Linked DNA regions of Arabidopsis thaliana. The protein of the gene in region 2 purifies or fractionates together with the protein of the main gene of each other region. This does not show direct contact. Each region holds a gene or a part of one and is shown on either strand. Other genes may lie near its edges.

Region 1 (8,317 bases), on a different chromosome or scaffold from region 2:
GAAGGCACGCGAAAAGTTTGTGTCGCTAAAGAAGAATACCAGAGGAGACATTGTTGCTGAGTTGGAAGAGGTATTGGCAATATATTTCATATATGTAAATATTCAAGAAAAATCTCCTTATCCATATTCAGGCATGCATAAACTGTACATGTGCACTATATAACCGTATATTATATCTTTGGGATTCTAACGAACTTGTCAATCTATAGGATTTGGAGAACTCGAAGTCAGCATTTGAGAAAAGTCGTTTCAATCTAGTATGCTAAGTCTACGAATAGAAGCACTACTACGATTGTCTTTTGACCTTTCTGCATTTAAATGGTTTTCTCTTTGGTTTAAGGAATGCAGGTAAATTCACTGATGACCATTGAAGCAAAAAAGAAGTACGAGTTCTTGGAATCTATAAGTGCAATTATGGATTCCCATTTCAAATATTTTAAGCTTGTATGTTTCTTCTCTTATTTTGCATTTAGAGATGTAACCAAGTGTGACCAACTAAGGGAAACATCAGTACCTCGTTGTACTCCTTAATGTGGTCTCTTTGTTCTCCAGGGTTATGATCTATTAAGTCAATTGGAGCCTTACATCCATCAGGTACCACCTTAATGTCAAATCCTTTCTGACTATGCAAATAAGCAGAAAAAGTTTGGGAGCTTGTAATGCTAATTCGTTTACAAATGCATATGAAATAGGTGCCAGTTATCTCTTTTAAATCATGTATCTCTCCCTTTTTGTTCCGTAAAAAAAGCTAAAAAGGAAAAATAGTGACTTTAATAACTTGTACTATAACTTGTACTACGCTAACATGTGACTTTAATAAATTTATAGTCTTAAGCGAAGAGAGAAATAGTGATGTGCAGACTTAGAGAGTTAACAGTTAAAGATACTTAAAGCTTTCTCTAATAAAATTCATTAATACTGCTACTTTTCCTCTTACAGGTATTGACATACGCACAACAGTCAAAAGAACAGTCTAAGATTGAACAAGATCGATTTGCACAACGCATTCAAGAATTCAGGACTCAATCTGAATTAGACAGCCAACAGGCCTCTGCTAAAGCAGATCCCTCCGATGTTGGTGGAAACCATGTTTATAGAGCTATCCCCCGTAAAAACGTAGAAGCAAACTCAGTTTCAACAGCAGACAAGGAAGTAAGGTTCTCCAAACCATAGTTTTCACAAATTGTTCCAATGGTTCTCTGGTAAAGAAATGGATTAAGTTTTGTCTTGCCACCGGAAAATGGTTAGAAGTGGCATAGTTTGTCCAAAGATATAATGGTCGCTGTTTCTGAATATGGCTATTTATATTGACAGGATCTTGCTTACCCTACTGTTGTTTTCTAACTGACACAATTAATCCAGCTCTCATTCAGATGCTTATAAAGTTAAAGTAATAGTGTCAATATTTGAGTTGCGCTCGCAAAGAATATTTCTGGCTTCAAGACTTGGGCCTTCTGTTATTAGATATAATACTGCTTTACAACCATGTAGACATTGAGATTTATGATGACTCATTTGGTGATTAGCTATACACTTCACTGCTTCAGTTCTTGTCCAGGCTAATGTCTTACTTATTTTGTCTTGTGTACTAATGCAGGTAACTAAACAAGGGTATCTATTAAAGCGATCAGCTAGTTTGAGAGCTGATTGGAAAAGGAGATTCTTTGTGCTTGACAACCATGGATCCCTATACTATTACAGAAACACCGGTAATAAATCAGCGGTATGTTTGCCAAGCTCCTTTTCACTTCCTCGTTTCCATGAAAGAGATCCATAAGCTCTTTGAGACTTGGTTATAGTTCAATTTCCAATGTCCAATTTCGTACATTTTTATAGTTATGTAGATATACTAGCACTCCCTCATGTCTTGGCTATATTTATATTTGTTGACTGTTAAACAAATCTCTCTCACCTGTGTATTCTTTTATTTTAAGTTTCACTTTCTCAGTTTCTATCCTTCTAATCATCTTTTTCTATTTATAGAAATCTCAGCATTACTACAGTGGTTTAGGAGAGCATAGTAGCGGCGTCTTTGGGAGATTTCGTACAAGACACAATCGATCAGCTTCACAGGGAAGCCTAGATTGCAATATGATCGATCTCCGTACTTCACTGATAAAATTGGACGCAGAGGACACAGATCTTCGACTCTGTTTTAGAATTATATCTCCTCAAAAGACTTACACACTACAGGTACTAAATTTATTAGATATAGAAACGTGAAGGAGCAAATATAGCATCAAGAGGCCAACACAATTTATTTCTATATGCTACAGGCTGAAAATGGAGCTGATAGGATGGATTGGGTAAATAAGATCACAGCAGCTATAACAATACGTCTGAATTCTCATTTTCTGCAGCAGGTTTACTCAATATGAGTCTCATACTTTTCTTTTACCTTCAAATTGAAAATTTTGTGTTGTTATAGAATCTAATATCTTCTGCAGTCACCAGCAAGATACTTGGATAAAAAGAATACTAGTTCTGGTCCTGCCACTGAAAACCTCACCCTGAATCAAAAAGAAGATTATAATCAAAGACTAAATGTGGGGGATGACGTCCTTACAATACTCAGAGAAATTCCTGGAAATAACACTTGTGCAGAATGCAATGCACCTGACCCCGATTGGGCATCATTGAATCTTGGAGTTTTGATGTGCATTGAATGCTCTGGTGTTCACAGGAATCTCGGCGTTCATATATCCAAGGTAAATTTCTTCATTTTGGTACGATATTGCGTAGCTTCTTTCCATTTAGTTCGAGGTTGTATAAGCTCATTTGTTGTAAAGCTAACCATGTGCTATATATCTTTGCATCAACCAAAATTTGCAGAGCTCAATTTTTTAAGATGAAGTGTTTATATTTCTTGCTGAATTAAACATCTGTGTATGAAGCTTAGATATTTAGCTAATGTCAAAGAATGTCTGCAGGTGAGATCGCTCACATTGGATGTGAAAGTATGGGAGCCTACAATCTTGGACTTATTTCGGAACTTAGGCAACGGATACTGTAATTCAGTCTGGGAGGAGCTACTTCATCACCTTGACGATGACAGGTATAATTTCTCAAGGAAAATTAGATTGTTTATATAAGTAAAGACTGTCTCTATAACACAATCAAGAAATAACATTCCTTGAATCAAAATCATCTGTTCCTCTTTTACAAGTTTCTATTTTCCCAATTGTGTAAAATCATGAGATTGGTGATCTTTACTTTCCTATGATCCTATCTTCTGTTGAATATTTACAGTGAAAAGGGATCGACAGACACACTTGCATCAGTTTCGAAACCATCTTCAGAAGATTGGTTTACTCTGAAGGAGAAATATATTAACGGAAAGGTATGAGATTTAGTTCTTAAAGTTTTCGCATACATAGACCTCAGATTCATGTCACTTGACGCATCATCCAAATGAGCATATTCTTGTGAATAGAAAAGGCTTATGATACTAAAGCTGATAATGTTTATGCCTAGCTAGTACCTGGAGAAAGCACTAGTTGTCAAAGATGAAAGAGAAGCAAATTCTACTGCCTCAAGTAGAATATGGGAAGCGGTTCAAAGCAGGAACATAAGAGACATCTACCGACTCATTGTAAAAGCAGATGCAAATATCATCAATACCAAGTTCGATGATATTACTGACCTTGATGTATATCACCACCACCATGTTGATGCACCAGATGAAGTAAAGAAAAGGCACGATCCAAATGCGTGTCAGAGAATCAAGAATTCGAACGAAGCAAGAAACTGTCTTCAAGGCTGCTCATTGTTGCATGTGGCGTGTCAAAGCGGTGACCCAATCTTGCTTGAACTGCTGTTGCAGTTCGGGGCTGACATAAACATGAGAGATTACCACGGACGAACTCCATTACACCATTGCATCGCATCAGGGAACAACGCATTTGCAAAGGTTTTGCTGAGAAGGTAACACACTAACTAATAAATCTCATGAGGGGCACTTTGAGTAGATACTTAGTGTCTCTCTTCTTTGAATTTGACAGAGGTGCTCGTCCATCAATAGAGGATGGTGGAGGATTAAGTGTGTTGGAAAGGGCAATGGAGATGGGAGCCATAACCGATGAAGAGCTCTTCCTTCTATTAGCAGAGTGTCAGTAAATTACCAATATACCATTTGCTGATTGATTGCTACGCAAAGGAATGTAACTTGTAACTGTTGTAGTATTTGGTCATGACTTGCTCATCGCATTGATGCTCCAATATTTACCTAATTCCCGAAGGAGATAGAACTCTAGGAAATGTCAAGATTCCGACCTACTGTATTAGCCTTTGTAATGTTATACATAAGATGATCTCAAAGATTCTAAGCCTGCACCTCAAAGTTTTTTTTTCTTCTTCTGTATTTGATATCCGAGATACAAATATGTGTTTTGTAGCCGGAAACTTTATTATAGACAACATTCTCATTGCCCAACAAAAATTTGATGAAGTAAGTGTCGTGTTTTCTTCTATTATTTTGCTCTAAATTAAGTAGTGCTATTGCCACATTCTTAGATACTAACGTAGAAGAGTCCCATCGACATTTTTTTTTTGACCAATATTAATTAGAGTTCAAAAAAGCCTATCATTCACAGTAGATGCCAAAAACAAAAGGAGTCATTCCTAGAATTGTTGTTTACATATGTTTTTAGTTTATATTCTTAGCTTAACCAATATGCTGCGAATTGATTGCAGAAAAGTTTTTTTTTTTTTTTTAAATTAAACAATTCACCGAAAAAGAATAAATTCTTATTATTGTTTTTTGCTATAAAACAAAATCATGAGCAAAAGAAAGTATTCATCTTGTGGAATAAATTTTTATTTTTTAAAGTAATGGCTTTATTTTTAGTGTTAAACAGTATTCTTTTGAAATGTAAAAAAAGAAGAAGTATTCTTTTGAAATGAATTTTTTATTGTTTCTTTTGGTAATAATGCGTTTTAATTCGAACCGGAAAGAGTTAAGGGATTAAATAAAACCGGCGGCTTTTTCAAAACCCTTCACCGTTTGTTCTTCATCTCCTCGCCGCCGCCTCCTACTCTCTCTTTCTCTCTAAATTGCTCAATTCTCTCGGCCACAGGTAAGCTTCTTCGACTTCACTCTTTGACCCAATACTACTTTCCTCACCCCCTGTGGTTTCCTTTGTTAAACCCTTCAATTCTCTTTCTCAATTTGATAAACCCTAGTTCTGCTATAGACCTAGACAAGGATGGTGACTAAAGCAGAAAAACAATTCGCCAAAAATTTCAACATAGACGATCTCCCTGACGTCCCTGCCGGACTTCCTCCACATCTCAAAGCCCAGCAAACTCGTGTCGTCTCTAAAAACAACGCTCCTGCTCATGTAAGAACTATTCTCGTTCAAAGTTACAATCTTTTATGCTCTGTTTTGTTGGTTATAAGCTTATCTAATTACAAATTTTATAGCTTTTCTCAATGATCCCATGTGGGTTTGAGTTCTATCGTTGCTGTGTTCATGATACAGAGTAAAAGTTTTGTTTTTTCCTGTGAAAAGCTGTGAATTTACGAGTTTGGCTCTTAAGTGTTTTACCAGAATACACCTTTTGTTTTCAAATTCAAGATGATATTGAGTAGTGATTGTTTGAAATTTGAAGTCTTTAATCTTGTGTTTGTGTTTTCTGTAGACTGCGAGTGCCATTTACTCGGGTACCTATGTTTCTTCTACGGAAGAGGACGACAATGTGAAGCTAGGAAACTTCTATGATAACTTCAAAGTTGATGTGGTTAGTCTCACAAAGACAGATATGGAATTTGATATGATTGGTATTGATGCAGCGTTTGCCAATGCATTCCGAAGGATCCTTATAGCTGAGGTCTGTCAAGTTTTCATACAACCTCTGATGAATCCCTCATTGTTGTAATCTTTGGCTTAAAGTGCTTCTTTCTTTATTGCAGGTTCCTTCAATGGCTATTGAAAAAGTGTTGATAGCGTACAACACATCGGTTATTATAGACGAAGTTCTTGCTCACAGGATGGGTCTTATTCCAATTGCCGCAGATCCAAGACTTTTTGAATATTTATCCGGTAAGCATATATTTCAGTGGTATGTGATCCATCTACATATGATGATAATTCTTCTGATTAGCTTACTTCTTTATCTGTGTATGATAGAACATGATCAGGCGAATGAAAAGAACACCATTGTATTCAAACTCCATGTGAAATGTCCGAAAAATAGACCACGTCTTAAAGGTAATATATGTTCATTAGTTAGCATCAGAAGATTTCTTGTTTTATTATCAGCTCCATCTCTCATGAAAGATATCATTTCGTTTTCTTGTAGTTTTAACGAGTGATTTAAAATGGTTACCAAATGGAAGTGAGCTTCTGAGAGAATCGGAAAATAAAACCTCAAAGCCAAAAACTTACACTTCATTCAGTTGCAGCCAAGATTCATTACCTGAATTTGCTAATAATCCTATCACTCCATGCGACCTCGATATCTTGATAGCAAAACTCGCCCCTGGTCAGGTAGTGTTTCTGTACATTCTTTTTATATACACCCAAGCAGACCATACTTGCAATGAGAGATGAAACATGTGCATCTTCTTTTATCTCTTTTTTCCCAGGAAATCGAGCTCGAAGCTCATGCGGTTAAGGGCATTGGTAAAACACATGCAAAGTGGTCTCCAGTAGGGACTGCTTGGTATAGAATGCATCCTGAGGTGAGAAGTATATACATCAATCTATCATATGCTTTATGGGAAACAGCTCTTTGTTTTGTCTTTCCTCATCCCAATATATATGTTTCGTAATGCTTTTGTTTATACTATCTTAGGTGGTTCTACGTGGGGAAGTTGAGGATGAACTTGCTGAACGACTTGTAAACGTCTGCCCACAGAATGTTTTCGACATTGAAGACATGGGAAAAGGTGAAGTATAAAATCTTATGCAAGCTGATGAACTTGGCTGCATGACTTACTTAAATTTGATTTCATACTGACTTGTGGAAAACAGGTAAGAAAAGGGCAACAGTAGCGCAGCCACGTAAGTGCACATTGTGTAAGGAATGCGTAAGAGACGATGATTTGGTAGACCATGTGGATCTTGGCAGTGTTAAGAACCATTTTATATGTAAGAAGAGAAAAATAAAACCCATTCCTTTTACTCTGCTACTCATGATCTGAAAGATATCGTAATTGAGTTTCTTGTCGTCTTTTTTCTCAGTTAACATTGAGTCCACCGGATCACTGCCTCCAGAGGTTCTCTTCACTGAAGCTGTGAAGATATTGGAAGCTAAATGTGAAGCTATAACCGACTTTTGAGTTCTGGTTTAGTTCAATTTTGAATTGTCTGTCTATCAATGTTTCTCCTCCTATTGATAAATTACCAACAAACAACATTGACATATTTATTTATACGGTTGTTGTTCAATTTGGATTTTCATTAGCCTTCTGAGTTCTGATTCATAACAAAATTCCTAGCTGAACCAATTTTGGAAATCTGCTTCGGTTTAATTTGGTTTTACTATTCTACCACTAGAACACTGACGCCATTCCTTACATTGTGCCAATCAAGGTGTGTGTTGGTAATAGTAGTTTTTGGTTTCATTGAACACTTAAAATAGCGTCAGTGGTAGAATAGATCCCTGCCACATTAGATTATACAAAATGTTCTCATTAAATATGAACTATGAGAGTTTATGTATAAATAACTGAAGAAGTAACATTTAAACAAGTAGCACCAGTGGTCTAGTGGTAGAATAGTACTCTGCCACGGTACAGACCCGGGTTCGATTCCCGGCTGGTGCAATAGAGCTGTGATGAAATCGGTTTCTGTAAAGGTTGGGTCCTTTGCATTTCTCCAGTTTATCTGGTGATATGGCCTCTTAACTGAGCTCTTTCTTTTTCTATTTTTTCTTTACCTTTTTAAGTTTTCTAATTAGAAGACATCAGTACATAAACAGTTGATTATGCTAATAGTAAGACTGATTATGATAAGGGAATATAAACAAAGTTCGACAATGTGGTTGTGAATTTTATAACGAACATGTTTTACAATATATCACAAGACTCACATGTTTTATTGGTTATTAGTGGATCTTTACAACATAACCACAAATAGGGGTGCTGAGTTTTTGAAAGAGTTTAGAAGTTTTGACCAAACAATTTTAAGTTCTTCGGATTCAATTACCAAATGTCAAAATACTCGTCTAACTATGATTTACAAGTAAATACCACTATTACAAGAAGTTTTTTTTTTTTTTTTTTTTTTTTTTTTTTTTTAACAAGAAGTTTAAGCTATGCATGGTAACATATTAATTTATTAGTATATAAAAAAAAATAATTCCAGGTTACAAA
Region 2 (8,317 bases):
ATTCTTACAATCATTCACTTCTTTGGAATGTTCAACAGGAACCTGCAAATTCAAAACTGCCTGCAACCAGTGTGGTCTAGCAATAAATAAAACTTCTAGATAATCCATTTGTCGAACAAAAGAAAATTTATGAAGTTATCAATAAGACTGCATAATGCTTCATCAGGAGACAAAAAGCCTAGTATAAAATCTAAGAATCCAGCTTGGAATTACAATACCACCTATATTCCAACTTAAAGCAAAAGTGGAATGTCCATGTAACGGTGTAAGATAATATGAGAGCTTTTAATAAGCAATTGAGTTTGAATATAAACATGTGCAAGACGATCACACATTGGCTGATAATTCGTATTACTGATAATTCGTATTACTCACTAAAACAGAGAAAGAAAGAAAAAAAAGTAATCACTGATGAGCGACACAAATTACCTGGACAGGAAGTTCAAGCTTCGACCTCAAAGTGACCCGATCCTTTCCCACCTCACCCTCCTCCAAAAGCTACGAATCGCAAAGCAAGAATAGGTAAAACATCAAAAATATAATGGAGTTGAGAAATGAATTAGCTGAAGGCTCAAGATGCCTTTTTATTAACCTCTTAGCACATAATTTAAAGGTAACATAAAAATAAAGAAATGACATATCAAGCAAGAATACTTTTTGCAGCTATTCTCAAAGACCATCTGAAAACTGAAAGTTATAGCAAGAAAGCAAATGCATCTTGCAAACTGCCCCTGAAGATCAAGTGATCACCTCAATAATAAATACACATCTTTCCCAATCTCAAACACTAGAAGGAAAGAGACCAAATTAATAGCAGCATAACTTGGTTTTGAAACTTAACAAACAGTAAATCATCAGTAATAGAAGAAAACAAAGCCAAAAAAAATTGAACTCTTGATCACAACATCCGATTTTGAACAGCAACCAGCATTACCTGAGGAATAGTACGCTTGAAAGTACTGAATTTCCCCACAAAGGCATCCAGGATACGTCCCTATTTACAGGTGCAACATGAGGTAAGTTAATGGACAGAGAAGCCAATCAATTCTAAAATGAACTCTCCAGTGAATTTCTACCAGTAAAATCCGTGCTTCATCCATTGACTGCTGATCAACACCTTTCTCAAATATTGGTTCTACCTGTATCAAACACAAGTTTTGATTGAAGCTTAATTCAGAAAAAATAAATAAACTATATCCCTGTTTAAAGCAGTTTATCGAATTAAACAAGACAAGCACGGTAGAGAATATAGAATTACCAGATTCAGCATCAGTCGGGCACATGTTGTATGAATGCTAAGAGAGAGGGTAGAGTCGTGCATGTTTCTTGAAAATAGGTAGATAATCCGTGATAACTGTGACGTTGTTTATAGTTAATCAGAGGAATGTAAAGGAAATGCACTCATTAAGCTCGACAAAAAATAAGGGGAAAAAAAAATGACGTCAAAAAGGAAAGCCTAATGATGCAAAGAAAATTGATCAATATGTTACATTCCTAAAATTTTCCACACACAGTGCAATTGCGTATTGTAATGAAGTATTTTCACTTATAATGAATCCAGGCTATCACAATCAACGTTTAATACTGTTTAAAGTTCTGCATCAGTAAAAACCTGTGCGAGAGAAAGATCTCCGCGAACATGGTGAACAATCTCCGCGAGTAGGCTGTAAGCCAAAGGCCTCAAAGACTCAAAACATGCTCGCCCAGTTCCAACTAGAACCCTAACACAGAAGACAAAGAAGAATACCTGAAAAAAGTCAATACTTGTTTATAGATACTTCAACTAGATAAACTATATGCGGACAAAAGCTGTGCTTGATTTAACCAAACATCTCCTTTAGAAATATGAAAATTTTCGAAATTTTCGAATTTCAGATGCCTTAAGCCTCATACCTCTCATCTAAAAGAGTGTCAATCAGAGGAAATAAGCCTCTCTTGAAATCCGTCCCAAGCACATGCTTTAATGAGACTAAGAGTTCCTGCATTTTATGTAATGAAAAGTAAATCTTTAGCTGCACTCCCTTAACTGTGTCACCAGAGAAAACATACTGACGAAAAGGACCATAAGGTTTTCCACCTTTCTGATAGAAGCAGAATCTGAACACGTCACAAGCAAATTTACAATGCTTTTGCATATGCTTTCTTCATGCGGACGGATATATTCGGCGCAACTTTTTAGCAAATAAGTCAAAAAAGAAACCGTCTGCAAATGATCCGAAAACAAAAGTCAATATATCATGTCATCTCCCAGTTACAAACAATATAATTCAGATCAAACAATGAGTCGGTGTAGGCCTTGATATAATAATATTTCCAACAATGTAGAAAGCTTTGGTTCCCTTCCTTACGAAGAAACATTGTCTCACCTTAACCTGTGCACCTTTTAACTCTATGAACTGAGGCTTCAAATGTGAAGGGACATTCTCAGGTCCAGGGACAGATATAGCAGCAACCATCAGTGGAAGTAAATGAGGAATGTTGGTCTGAACGAGTCGGCTATACAGCTGGAAAAGGAACATAACAACAAGGGGGCTCTCTGTGATTATCTTGAATGACCGAGTACTCGGATTAAGCTGCACATTCCCGATAGGTGGGGTAGGGGTAAGGGACTGATCAGAAGACGTAGGCATCTCCATAGGCTTCACTTCTTCCATTTTAACATTATCGAAAAAATGGCTGACAGTGAATCTGAAAATCGAATAGATTTTGCAGACAAAGTCTAAAAACGGTTGAACCTCGTTTTCTAGCGTGGGCCTAAAATTCCTAAGAAGGTCAAAGATTATCCGAATGCAAATCAAACCGTTTTCTTCATTATCTGCGGTGAGCACCTGCATTGCAACCTTCAAGAGGTCCTGAACAAAGGGACGAAGAACCTCACTGTGTGGAAGACGATTGAGGATCTCAACCACAATGTTCCGCAGTTTGTGCTCCGGATTATCGATAAATTGCGGTTTAGTAATCTGTAGAAGAATAACTGAGAATGCTGGGAAGTAGCATTTTAAGAAATTCAAGTACTCTGCCGTATGTGCTATCTCTAGACTGTCCCTGACCTCCACCACCATCTCAAGCCTTGTTGGAATAGCTACACAAAACAATTTCAAAACAGATAAATTAACAAAAAAAACAAAAGAATTTTTGATTTCACAGTTAAAACTAAAACAAGAACTGAGTCGAAGTCAGACTATAATTCATACGAGAATCATGAAAATTCTCTCAAAATTCAAAATCAAAGGAAGCTGATTTGAGTTATATAGAGAGTGAAATCAATAGAGAAATTACGTAGGTCAAGATCCACGAGACGACGGGAGTGTTGCTCGAAATTCTGAATTGGACTCATGGTGAACAAAGAGCTGAGCGAAATAATTTACACGGCGGAGCTCTTTCGCCGATCACCGACGCGACGATCTCTAAACGCACCGTACAAGTGCCAGACTAGGTCAAAACAAGTGGAATTTTAGCGAAGGTTTTTTACAAAAGCTACTAAACTAGAGACAATTCTGGAGAGTTTCCCAGAATCGTTTGAACAAAGACTAACGAATTAGAGGAGGAAGACTATGGAAGATGATGCTTCTCTAAGCAATTTTCCCTCTCATTTTTGTTTCTCTGTGACGACTCTCTTTGAATAGTGAGTTCTGTGAACTCCGAGAGGATTCACGGGCGAGATCGCCGACTTGTACCGCCCAGTTTTATTGTTTCCTTAATGGGCCAAAATTTTCGGCCCAATATAATTTCAAGAGGCCTGTGTGCATTTTATTTTATTTTAGGAGAGGTGTTGTTATCAAGATGGTCACATTTAGCTAACGAATATTAATTAGACAGGAGCAAAAGCCATCATTATAATTTTTATTAACCAAATTCAAGTGTAGTGAACGCCAAGAATCTAACACCCTCCAAATTACTGTATAAGACACAAAAAGTAACACTAATTCTTGTGTGATGTAATATTGATGGAAGGTATACGCATAATTAATTAAGCAGATAGTAATGGAGAGAGGAAACGTTTGGAGAAGTGGTCGAGCGGAGATAGAGACAAAAGCAGCGTTTGGGTCGGTGAAAGAAGCGGTGGCCATGTTCGGAGAGAAAGTTTTAGCCGGAGAGATCTATGCAACTAGGCTTAGAGAGGTAACAATGTTCTATATTATCACAACGAAAATAAACAATGTTCAATACTTCAATATCATCACAAAGATTACTATTTTGAAATAATATTTTATATATACATAATATATACTGTATATATAAACTAATTAATATGTCAGATATATTTGTAACCATTTTCTATTGACTAGATATACAACACAACCAAATGAAAAAAAAAAAATATGTACACATACATTTATAGTTTTGAATGGGCATTGTATATATGAATAAATTGATACGTTCCGGCTCGTATAGTTTTTACTTTTTACATCACATGTCTTTGACGGTTTCAGATACGGACAAAGGAAACAAATTCAACTCCGAGTTCTCTATCAAGACTACCATCTCTAACACTCGAGCTTGAGCAGACAAAACAAACACTGACAAGAACACTACAACTAAACACCAGCCTCTCCAACAGAATCAAAACTCTAACACAAGAACTCGAACTTGGTAAGAAGGAGATACAACGGCTCAGCAGGACGAGGTCGAGTCGCCTAGACAATCCGGAGATTGAGGAACTCAAGTTCGTGGAACAGCATCAAACGATGACGTCTAATGATTTTGAAGAAGAGGTTGTGACGACGGAGGAGTTGGAAAAGAGGAGACTAGTGACATTCGCGAGCTCGCCTTTGCTGACACGTGTGATGTCAAGTGTCGGGGACGAAGAGGAGAGAAACAAGAAAGAGAAGGATTTTGAGAGAGATTGTTCGGTCAAGAAGACAAAATTAAAGAAGGGTTTTGCTCCGTTCATGGGATGGTTTAGAGCAACCCGTGGATGAGATTGATCTATATATCTCCAATAATGCGGTCATATTGATTATTATGATTTTAGATCGTTATATAATATAGTTAATGTGCATGATGCTATATATCAATCTCGTTCTAAGAGTTTGATGAATAATACTTACGTTAAAAATGAGTCTTGCATCTTGCAATGATCTAAGCTTGGTTCTTTACAATAATCTCTATAGATAAAAGTTTTACTTGTTATCACATTGAACATACTTTTGCGATTTTTATGTAGGTGTCGTCTCTAATCTTCAATTCTTGGGTTGTTGTACAGTCTTTATGATGTTAGGTTTATGTTTGCATCTAAAATTGAAACTCGGAGAAAGTAGAACGTGAGATATATATGATTTCAGAGCAAAATAAATAGATTTGTTACAAAATTAAAGTGTTGTGAATCCGACCATATACTAATTAAGCAACATGTTTCTCAACAAAAAAAAAAGTATTTTATGATATAAAGTAGCCGCACAGCGATTTCATATCGCTCTCTACCACAATAATTCAGTTTTAATTATAGAAAAAATAAAAAGTCTATTCATACAATTTTGGATTATCATCTAGTTCACCGTAATATTCACAAAACGGATATAAATTTGTATATAGGAACATTAAAAAAAATCAGCCAACAAAAAATGGCAAATGGACCAAACTGATCCAAACAAGTCTTTTAGGAAAATTTTCACATAAAGGGAATCATAGACCATGATGCTACACAAGCCTCACATCTTTGCTTCTTATAGGAATAACGTACTTTGAATCCTCAAAAAGCATCTAAAGATCTTCTCGGATCCGCAGAAAAAAACTCATATGTATATCCACTTGTAATATATATACATCACAAGTAAGTAACTCGTTAAGACACATCACTACATATGTCAGTGATCTAGACCATATGATAGGAACATATATACGTTCAAATACTTTATTCAAACAATTGGTAACTTGATTCATTCTCTCTCTCTCTCTCTCTCTGGGTTCAAAATGAAGGTGGGCAATTTGGTCAAGATATAGATGTGTAATTTGGTTATGTTTGAAGAATTTAAAAGCCTATTCGATTTTGAGATCTCCTTGATGTAGACTCCTTATTCTTCTTAAGGGTTTGGTTTCATGGTCTATATAAAGAGGGACTGATCACGTAAGCTTATCATAGAAAGAAAGAAATCAATTAGAGACGTCAAAGAAAATGAATTAGTAACATTGAGTTGGTATCTTGACCAGTTGAATCCTGACTATCCGAGATCAGTATTTGCAAAGAAAAAAGTAGAATCAAAATTGCGGAAAGAGGTTTACTAATTGTGATTTTCTGTCAAAAAAATACGGTAAAGCTAAAGCTCAGTATTGGTTTACCAAATCAAGAATTATTCTGTTCAAATGATCAGAGTTAAGGTACCTTAATACATGAAAAAAAAACAATATTGTTTTCACTCAATTACCCATTATAAAAATCATGTTAAATAATAGAAAATTTATTGTTATGCTTAATTATATTCCGTCGGTTAAAACAATATATGAATAAATAAAAATCATAGTCTAAATTTTTGAATTTAAACATTTAATCTTTTTTTTATAGATTTTAGTTAAATTATTTACGTTTTGGATATGTATTGTTTGAAACAGTTTTGTTTAATATAGTTTTATGTTTGGTGTTATATATATATATATATATATATATATATATATATATATATAATATACATTTTCAAAATGTTAGAAAAAAACTATTTTCCGTTTTCAAAACGTTTTGCTTCAACATTTTCGTTTCCATGCAAAATAGGTATACAGCTTATGTTCCTAAGAAAATTGATGTTTAGGAATTTTCACACAAATTTTACAAACAATTAATATTTAGTTATAAATACATTATTTTCACAAAATTATTATAAACCAATAACCATTCATAAATTCAATTTTCAATGATAATTTTTAAAATTTACAAATTATTAACATTAAATAGTTAAATATATAGAAAAATTAATATTTGTGGAACAAGAAAAATCCCCAAAATATCAGCTTTTTAGGGACGGATATAATATTATTTAGTCTCAAAAACATAACAGATTTGGTCCATAAGCAAATTAGTTTGTTCCATCCGCTAAACCACAAAAACCTAAATAAATCATGTTTATTTTAATTTTGTTGAAATATAAGAATATAAAAACGTAAATATTATAGAACAAGAAAAATTCTAGAATATTTATTTTATATGTGATCAAGAATAGTATTATTTAGGCTTTGGAAAAATATTGTGGATAAAGCGAAATAAACCGTTAGCGGACTAAACACCTTATTTTTGAGAAGACAATAAATAACAGTAGAGCAAGTATATTTATACGTAAGAGCGCTCCATATTTAATCCACTGTGAATATATTTTAATATTTTTAATCTTTTTTTTCCCCTCAAAGTTTCTTTTCATTAGTACGAAGGTCTGAAACATACATAAGCTTAATCAGTAGACTTTCTACTTACAAGTAGAAGACTATCACTGATACATAACAACTTAATATTTTTAATCTACGCATTACTGTAAATTAATAATGGTAAAATGGAAAATCTTAATTATAAATGGATTTGGCCGAAAACACATCAGTTCGTTTTATCTGCTAAACCACTTAAATTTTCATTTTTTCAAAATATAAATATAGACATGTAGTTTGTTGGTATTCGTGTTTGGACAAAACTTGGATAATAGAGAAACTTGGATAACAAGAGAAGGAACAACATATAACGAGGCAATCCAAAGAAAAACATATCTAGTTAATACTCCATGATTAAAGTTTTCAATGTAACAATTATGAGCGTAGTTTACGAGGAAGAAAGGGTTCAAACTACAAAAAATGTACTCTTTAAAACATGGATGCACAAATGTCCCTAACTGCCACATTCATGTTTTTTTAACATACAGTATTATATTATTTTTTAATTTTTTTTTGTTAAAATGATTCTTAATACACAATTCACAATAAAACAGATTGTATAGTATAATGTACAAGATTTATAAGCAAATATAACCCATATAATTTATTTATGAGTATGTAACATATTTTTAAAAAAATTCTATCAAAAGCTACGGTCATTGAACAAGATCTATGTGACATAGATCAACTAACAAAAAAAACATTTTTCTTCCTTGTGTCATTTTAGTTCACGTGGCTCGAGGATAGCTCTTTGTAAAAGATCTCTCTGTTTAAGGAAATACTGAATGACACGCACTCTCACAACGCGTGAGCCACCTTGACGTAATTCATAGCACTAAAGAAGAACTTATAACTAATCATATATGTACTTAATTGTATCCAAAGATTACAAAGGGACATTAGTGTTACTACAAACTAATTTTAGATATAAGTGTTAAAAATAAAAAATAAAAAAATTGTAGTGATCAAT
Region 3 (8,317 bases), on a different chromosome or scaffold from region 2:
TTTCCAGAAGACTATATATAAGCAAGGCTTGTTGCTTTGTTCACAAGCAACCTACTACACTCTCCGACTGGTTCAGAAGTTCCCCTAGCTGCTTGCTTTTCAGAACCAGAGGAACCTTCTTCTGCGCTTAACAGTATCACCCTATTTACTTGACGATTCCTTTATCGGATTTACAGTGATTCTTTTAGCATTTTTCACCGCCCATTCGCCAAAACCAGGTGAAGAAACCAATTCCTTCAATGCATTTTCCGTGCTCTCTTTAGTGAATTTTTGCAACTCTTCCTTCGTTAGCTTCCTTCTCCCTTCTGGTGTTTTGTGGAATGAAGAAGGAAAGATATCTGACTCAGATAATGGTACTGTCCTCAACTTCTTGTTGGAACCTGCAAAAACCATTTACAGAAGAAAAACCGGTTCTTCAAGAACAACATTACGAGATAAAGGGACTAGTATAAAGAAATCAGACCACTAGAGACACAAAGAGAAAAAATCAAAACCTCTAGGAAGAGGAGAAGCAAACGAGGTAGCATGGATCAAGCCGGGGCTACAACTCTCAGTTTCATCATCTTGCTCATATATTCTTTGAGCTAACAGCTTTCTGCTAATACTCTTTAGAATCAATGAGATGAGAATTCCAGTTATCAACGCTCCTCCAGCAAGTAATGGATCTAAAGAGCTCTGTTAATTAACACAAGATCAAGACTTCAATCACCAAAAGGTTTGGTTATAATCAAAGATGAATCAGAAGCAAAAGCAGAGAAAAAACGAAGTACCTGAAGGATCAGAGCCACAGCAAAAGCTCGGATGGACCAAGAGACAAAGATTGATGTACTAATGTCAACAGAACCATCTTTTGTCACAACAAATTTCTTGACAGTCCAAAATCCTGACCACGCTCCCAACATAAATACAAACACAACCAAAAGAATCGCCAGCTGCAAAATTTTACATAAGCCGTTTAAGATTAATCAAACCAGAATATGAATATGTGACATAACAACAAGTACCAAAACTTACATACAGGGATGTACAAATCTTCACTGATTTCTATCTGCATTAGCAAATCTTGAACTAAACCGCGTATGTATTGAAGAAAGTAACCTCCCACACCAATCTGAGAATATAAAAGAAGGCTTTGGTTAGTACATGTTCGACAAAAGAACTCAAAGAGAAGACAACTCTCACCATAGACGAGTAGAAAAATAACTGAAAACGACTCTTCCCTCTAGTTGGTAGACGCTTTATCCCCTGCACAACCGTTTATCACGTTAACCAGAGAAAAAACCATGAAACATATAACAAAAGATAGCGTTATGAAAACTTTTACCTGATTAATGATAAGAGTTACAAGAATGACAATCCCAATAGACATTGCACCGATATAGTAAAACGCAACTGATTTGCTAAGTCTAGAAGCCAAACTCAGTAACACTATCCCCATGATTAAAAACACAATCCGGTATATGAAAAACTCTGCAAATACAAACTCTACTTTGTTTAGTTTTAGAATTTTGCAAAACACAAAACAACACAAGCACTCTACCTTGTTTAGCAACCAACTCCACGGTGCTGACATTAGATGAGCCACCAAATGTTCTTATATCAAGAATCTTATAGTCAAAAGGTGACATTATCCCAACCCAAGGTAACCCTTTGGACACTCTCTTCCACTGATTATCAGGACACATTCCAATTGCACGCGACGAATTCCTATAATCAGAAAGAAGTAAACTTTAAGATTTCACAGATACTAGATTGATTCATAGAGATTACACAGATACTAGATTTTACCTGTGGAAGCAAACGTCGATACTGTTGGAAGCATTATTACTCAAAAGAGTCAACTTTAGTGAATGTGCATATCTATCAATGTGCTCAAGTCTTCTTTGTAATCCATGGATATGTAATCTCTCACATATCGATGTTATACCTCGTTTCAGACCAGGTGAATATATCACCTCTGTTCTTGGAGTCACTTGTAGTGAACCAGTTTCACCCACAGCTGCTAATAAACAACAAAATTGGATCTTTTTTTATATAATTCATCGCAATTGTCTTAATTATGTAAAAAAAGGTTTGAAATTTGGTGATTCTAAACTACAAAATTCGAGTCCCATAAAGAATTGAAGAAAGCCCTAAAAGTATAATTCAATTCCGACACAAACTTACCAAAGACAAGTTCATTGGAGGAGACAAGGGAGAAGAAAGTGACGAGGTTGAGGAAGAGAATCACGACAATGAAATTTGAGCTTCGGACAATGACTGATGATGAGTCACTCATCGATTTTTCTGGGTTTTGTTTTTTGGATGAAGAAATCGTACGAAAGTAAAAGCAGTCACATAAATAAAAGAGACAAAATTAAGCCATGTCATCATCATATCTGCATACACCAAAAAAAAACATATTTAAGCTTTGTGACACATTCATTCATCATCAAACAGTAGCAGCAATAACCTTGGCAACAAAACATGTTGAAGGAACTGTAAGCACATGACCAAACCACTCAACTTCTCCCCAAATTTCACAACTTTCTTGTTTTTCAAGAGCAATCTCCGCGCACCAAATCTTATTCTTATAGCCGTTGTTACTACAAGGAGATTGTTCGACCCACAAAACCGCCATCTTTCCACCATAATCAGCCAATTGAATACAAACATTAGGTGAGAACTTAGGTAGCCTTACCAATTAACCCTTCAAACGTCTCCACAATCTTACCTTTTTGTCATACCATCTTATCGCTCCGTCAAAAACACAGTACAAAACGTTGTCTATCTCTCAATGAGAACTCGAAAACTTGAAAAATTCCATCTTTTGTTCAACCATGTCCCATGAGTCCATGACAAAATGGGGTGAAAAAATAAGTTCTTGAAAAAGCAATAAAACAAAATTCTCAAACTTCCATGGCCTCGTGTTCTGTTTCTTCTCCTGCAGTAGCCTCCTGTGTGTTTTTTATAGGCACGCTAAACAAGTACTCGCTCTCATGCTCAACCAAGTACTGCATCGATCTCTTGGTGTCTAAAAACAATCTATAAACTCTCTCAATGTCCTGAATCTCTACGACTTTCCCTTTACGTTTCAGGCAAGCTAGGGCAGCTGCATTGATTAGATGAATCGCGTACCTAAGCGAGGTATTACATCCGATCAAAGTCAGAAGCTGTTTCGCTTCCTCGTTCATCTCCACATCCTCTTCTTGGCAACGGATCTCTAAAATATTTCTGATCTCGTCTTGTGTGTAAGGCTGTGTTGTGATAATAAGAAGACGGTCAAGAAAATCGATTGGGATCCCATGTGCTGATATCTGGTTTGTTCCTCGGATTGTTGTCATTCCTCTGTTTGTAGCCACGACCAGGATTGGTGACATATCGTTTTCGAGAGCTCTATTCAGGAAAGAGAAGCATTCGATATCAAGCATATGGACTTCATCAATGAAGAGAACACCAGGTACTATTTCAGCTTTCCCTTCTTCTCTCCACTCTGCCACTTTAGTATCGCTTTGCTCTCGGGTTTCTGAACGAATCTCGCCTGTATCACCTGTGAAGAGGGCTAGATACCCTTGAGTCCTGCAAACAACAGAAAGAAAACAAGAATCCAAATAAGAACTTGAAAAAGCATCAATACGTGAAAAAGAAGCAATCTTTTTAACCTAAACCTAAAACTAAGCAATTGACAAATACAGAACAAGATCAAGAAACAAACCTGCTATTAATAACATCAATCTCATGAAGTGTGACAGAATGCAAAACCTCCTTCCTCTTCTCAAGCTCACCTTCAGGGCACTGCACAAACTTAGTCTTTGAACCCATAACATCAAAATCTCTAGACCTCGTAAAAGATCTTCCAAGCTTAGTAATCTTCCCACAAAACCTATCCAAAACAATAACATCACCACTCTGTACTTTCTCCTTATCCAATGGCTCAATCAATTTCCATCCCAAATCAAAATTAGATTCCATATCAGTCGTCTTCATTGTTATCTTCCCAGTCTTCTTCACAGAACCACCAGAAGAAGCAGGTCTATCAATCGAAATCGTCACAACTTCTCCTTCTATCACGTCAGTCTCTTCTTTGATCCTAACACCAATAGCTTTACGAAAAGCTTGAGTTAAAGCTTCAGTCTTTGACATCTCTAAAGAAAAGATCTCACTTCCTGCAATCATAGTGAATGGTGTTTCTTGTCCAAGTGATTTTGCTATACCCATTGCTATTGCGATTTTACCCGTTCCGGGTTGACCCGCTATAAGTATAGCCCGACCCGAGATTTTGCCGTCTCTGATCAACTCGAGGGTTACTCCGGCGGCTTTACGTGCTTTGATTTGACCAACCATTCCTTCGGATACGGCTCGTGGCTCGAGTACTGAGTCGAGACCTAAACCTCGTATGTGTGAGTGTGCTCCGATTCTTTCGATCCTAGTTAAGTCTCGAGTTTCTGATAACCTTAGTTCTGCCATCGTCGGTTGTTGAGTTCACCCGAGGAATGAGACTTGGCTTTTACTAGGTTTAGACTTTGGAGAATCAATCACCAGAGTCTTTCTTCTTCGTAAAGGTTTAGCTTTATTTATATTAAAAAATTACAAGATTTTGTTTGATATATATTCTTGTTAATTTACTTATGAGGAAGTTTACATTTATATATATATATATATATATATATATATAAATAAAAAGATAGTTTTTTTGTTTTGTTTTGGAATCTGTAAAGATATTGCAGACAAAAATAAAATTGAGAAACTTTTTTTCTTACAGCAAAAATAGTAATTGATAAACTTTCTAAATTATTATTTTTTGTGCTTGTGGTTTTGAATTTGTATTTTATGTTTGTAATTTTGTGAAGTTATTGTGGTTAAAAGAAATTAATTTTTGTTGTAATTTGTTTTTAGAAATTACTCATGATATTAAAATCATGTAGAACTGCATTGGTTGTTAACAAAACAATGTGAATTATTTGCATCACCACTTTTAGAATCGTATGTAATTTTTTTTAACATCAATTATAAGTAATACAAGAAATAATATTAAATGATACAAAATGATTTTTCTTTTCAAGTGTTTGATCCATATTTCTCAATAAGCACAATGCAACAACCTAATAATAAACCTAAAAATCAAAATCAAAATCGTCCTAGAGGCTTATGTTTTTGGTCAACAGATGGTTTTTCTATTTCTTTTGTAAGAATCTCGCAATTACCATAATCAAGAAAAGAGTCTTCTTCTTGAAACTCATCATCATCATCACAAGACATCTCCTCATCTATTCTTCCCATCACAACAACGCATCTATTGTTCTTCCGATGATCCAAGGACAATGATTGTCTCATTGCAATCGTAGGTTGTCCGCCACGTGTCAGACAGCCTTGATCATGTGCCGCCGACGTCAAGGTAAAGCTTCGAGGAAGGGCGGTGCTAGGCGGATCGCAGATTTGGAAGTTTCCGGAGAGTTGACCAAAACCAGATGATCCACCACCGGAATAAATTCCGGCGCCGGAGCATGACGTAATGCTTCGTATGTAGGCGTCACGTGCCATGATCAACAGACGAAAAGGAGCCTTAACCAACCATACGAAGCAGTTCTCTTTCTCTATGACTTTCGCTTTCATTATTGGATTCTCAAGAGTATCGAAATCAAAGTTGTATATATGTAAATATATAACCTTTTAAATATATTATAAGAGACGAAGAAGAAGAAATGCTCAAAGATTTCAAGACACTAAGACAGGATCAAAGAGAAGACAAATCCATGATGACTGTTGTAAATGATAATAACAAAATTATGAATGTGATCTATTCTTAAATGTACCTAGTTGGATGATTAAATACATTTCTTTCAGTTAGATGTTTAAATTTATTAAGGTGTTGTTGCCTTGTTGGCAAATCAGTCTTAACTTATTTCATATAATATGGACACCAATTTAAATCTGGATATTTGAGATGGGTTAGTTAGTAGTTAAAAGGGTATAATGGCTTGGTTCAACTACTTTCTTCAAAGCATGACGCTTGGTATGATAGTTCGGCCCATATATTAAATTTGATCCAATGTATAGACCCAATAGATTAGCACTCTTGTTTGCATCACTACATTACTCTAACCCACTATCGAATACTACAAAACTTTAACTGATTATTGAATCCTATCGTTTGGGATTAATTTGGTTCCAAAGAAATTCATGTGAGGAGATCACAAATAAATTGTTATCGAGATTTGGCCATTACTCTAACTTATCTAGAGCGACAAATATAATTTATAACTGGAGGTACACTATTTAGATCCTAGATTGTAGGTTTCGAAAATCTTGGGCGTTACAAGCAAAAACTCTTGGTATCATTGAATCCATACGTCATATAGTGTATAATTTATTTACAAATATATAGGTGCCTCATGCATGTGTCTGATATGTACATACTACTATAGACATAGATTTAGGGGGTAGAGCGTCACGACTCACGTGACAGTCCAAAGCTAAAATGGCTAGAAAATCAAACATATAGAATACGCGTAGGAATGCGGTATATACCTTTTTTATTCCTTCGTGCTTCTACTTTTGCATTTATTAAAAGATTGTTTCACACTTCTTTAACGTTAAAATAAATGAGCTAAAGCCTAAAATACTAAAGATAAACATATGCGTAGGCAATGCATTATAGTGTATTCATGTTTACCGATGTCATGGGCTCGATTGGTAACACCGAGAATGACGAAAGCGTAGACAAAAATGGTAGAATAAAATGGCATAAAGTCATAACGACAAAGCAAGAAAAAAACAATTTGATTAGAACTATGTTATTGTTGAATTAGTTTGTTATTTTTCATTAATCTTCCATAATCGACCTACGAATTTTCTTGCCTTTTATTAGTCCCTTCTATATCAGTAAATTCATTTTCTTTAAAACATATGTTTGAATCTGCTATACAATTAACAATGTGATCTCATATATGTTTAGACACAAATTGAACCTTTTCCGCAACGATTTTAAGTTGATACAAGAGTATTTCTATTGTATTAGTTGCAGTCATCATCATTATAAATTGACACAACAAAACCTCATTACCTAAAGTGGCATTATTTCACTGTATTCTCATAGAACTATAGAAGTCAAGTTATTTCTCATAGTTGAACGATATTTGACATCCACAAACTCTCTACCATCAAAAGTTATGAGTGTTACATTGCCAATCCGATATACCATCGAATTAGTGATCAATTCCTATAGTTACCTTTCCTCACATTCTCCAAAATCACGAACTGCTCAGTGCATCATGTCTTTAGAGCCCACTCATCCCCATCAAGTCGAAGAATCTACATGATTAAGTGTCATTAGAGTCAGTTTCTTTATATATTTAGCTCATAAATTAAGAGCTAGTAGTCTCGATCTCCATTACATGTTGCAGCGATTGATATTATACGTAAGTATACAATGCAGACATGCGTAAATCATCTTGTCCCAAACAAGACTTGAATCAGAAATCATACCTACCTCTTTTGAAATGTCGACGTCTACCACTAGACCACCACTTAATTGGTTAGTGTCAGTTCATTCTTTCATAATTTGAAACCTTCTAGCTCAACAAACATAAAACAAGAACAAATTCAACACACGTATTAAAAACTGTTGATCCCAACAACGAAAATACGACACACAGTAGTTGAATTTTCGTCACTTCGTTTTCATGAAATGGTTACGCTTTTATTCGTAGGTCCACCTCTAGTCACCACCACTCACACCAGTCATTAGCACTCGGTCCGTATTACTACTTAGATGATATGTTAAATCAATTTTGTTTTTTGATATAGTTATTGTTATTATATTTTTATAATATCACTATCAATCTCCCATCATCCCAAAGGCTAAAAAAACTTGATTACAAAACAAGTCATATCACATTTAAACACTTGCCGGTCCACTTTAGTATATCATCTTAGTTTGACTAGAAAAAAAAAACGTCATAGACACAAAATTTTTGGTTTTATCATTATCAACAACTCTGAAAATCATTTCATTTGAATCTGCAATTTCATTTCAAAAATGGGTCCAGTAATAAGTAATCAATATATTTTTCAATGAAATAATAAATAAAAATATATGTTTGGACAGCAAACTTTGCAGTTATGGGTCAGTACTCAACTGCAACAAAAAGAACACATGGTCTCTCTTACAGATCTCTATCTCTTTCTCTATCCCCACTCCCATCAATTTCCAAGTTTTATTATTAAATTATCTTGATTTGGTAGAGAGTTTGTTTTGTTAAAAATATGAAAAATTTGAAAACCAAATTAATTAACAAATGAAGGTTGGGTGGGGAAGAGGCAGATGTGGACACGTGGT

The links.
Region 1: the proteins of AT2G17930 (region 2) and ATRPAC42 fractionate together in Arabidopsis thaliana (co-fractionation; one large-scale study listed by BioGRID). This does not show direct contact.
Region 3: the proteins of AT2G17930 (region 2) and AT3G49830 fractionate together in Arabidopsis thaliana (co-fractionation; one large-scale study listed by BioGRID). This does not show direct contact.

Annotation. Positions count from the first base shown.
Region 1 is NC_003070.9:22,397,043-22,405,359, reverse strand, and holds ATRPAC42 (DNA-directed RNA polymerase family protein), read left to right. Parts: upstream 1-4,946; 5' UTR 4,947-5,075; exon of another isoform or gene 5,076-5,192; 5' UTR 5,193-5,204; coding exon 5,205-5,339; intron 5,340-5,640; coding exon 5,641-5,829; intron 5,830-5,911; coding exon 5,912-6,041; intron 6,042-6,128; coding exon 6,129-6,209; intron 6,210-6,300; coding exon 6,301-6,488; intron 6,489-6,586; coding exon 6,587-6,682; coding exon of another isoform or gene 6,683-6,772; exon of another isoform or gene 6,773-6,795; coding exon 6,796-6,889; intron 6,890-6,974; coding exon 6,975-7,091; intron 7,092-7,184; coding exon 7,185-7,282; 3' UTR 7,283-7,447; downstream 7,448-8,317. Other genes in the region: AGD2 (ARF-GAP domain 2), read left to right, coding at 5-70, 210-257, 349-444, 553-594, 940-1,152, 1,598-1,723, 1,984-2,193, 2,277-2,363 and 5 more.
Region 2 is NC_003071.7:7,798,894-7,807,210, forward strand, and holds the start of AT2G17930 (Phosphatidylinositol 3- and 4-kinase family protein with FAT domain-containing protein), read right to left. Parts: upstream 3,712-8,317; 5' UTR 3,338-3,711; coding exon 3,280-3,337; intron 3,083-3,279; coding exon 2,367-3,082; intron 2,204-2,366; coding exon 2,078-2,203; intron 1,980-2,077; coding exon 1,894-1,979; intron 1,722-1,893; coding exon 1,613-1,721; intron 1,355-1,612; coding exon 1,259-1,354; intron 1,140-1,258; coding exon 1,077-1,139; intron 995-1,076; coding exon 935-994; intron 499-934; coding exon 430-498; intron 61-429; coding exon 1-60. Other genes in the region: AT2G17940 (WEB family protein (DUF827)), read left to right, coding at 3,985-4,122, 4,434-4,922.
Region 3 is NC_003074.8:18,478,512-18,486,828, reverse strand, and holds AT3G49830 (P-loop containing nucleoside triphosphate hydrolases superfamily protein), read right to left. Parts: upstream 4,581-8,317; 5' UTR 4,447-4,580; coding exon 3,695-4,446; intron 3,559-3,694; coding exon 2,889-3,558; 3' UTR 2,849-2,888; downstream 1-2,848. Other genes in the region: AT3G49840 (transmembrane protein (DUF2215)), read right to left, coding at 142-380, 495-675, 771-932, 1,019-1,111, 1,183-1,245, 1,325-1,470, 1,541-1,707, 1,789-2,002 and 1 more; AT3G49820 (uncharacterized protein), read right to left, coding at 5,107-5,592.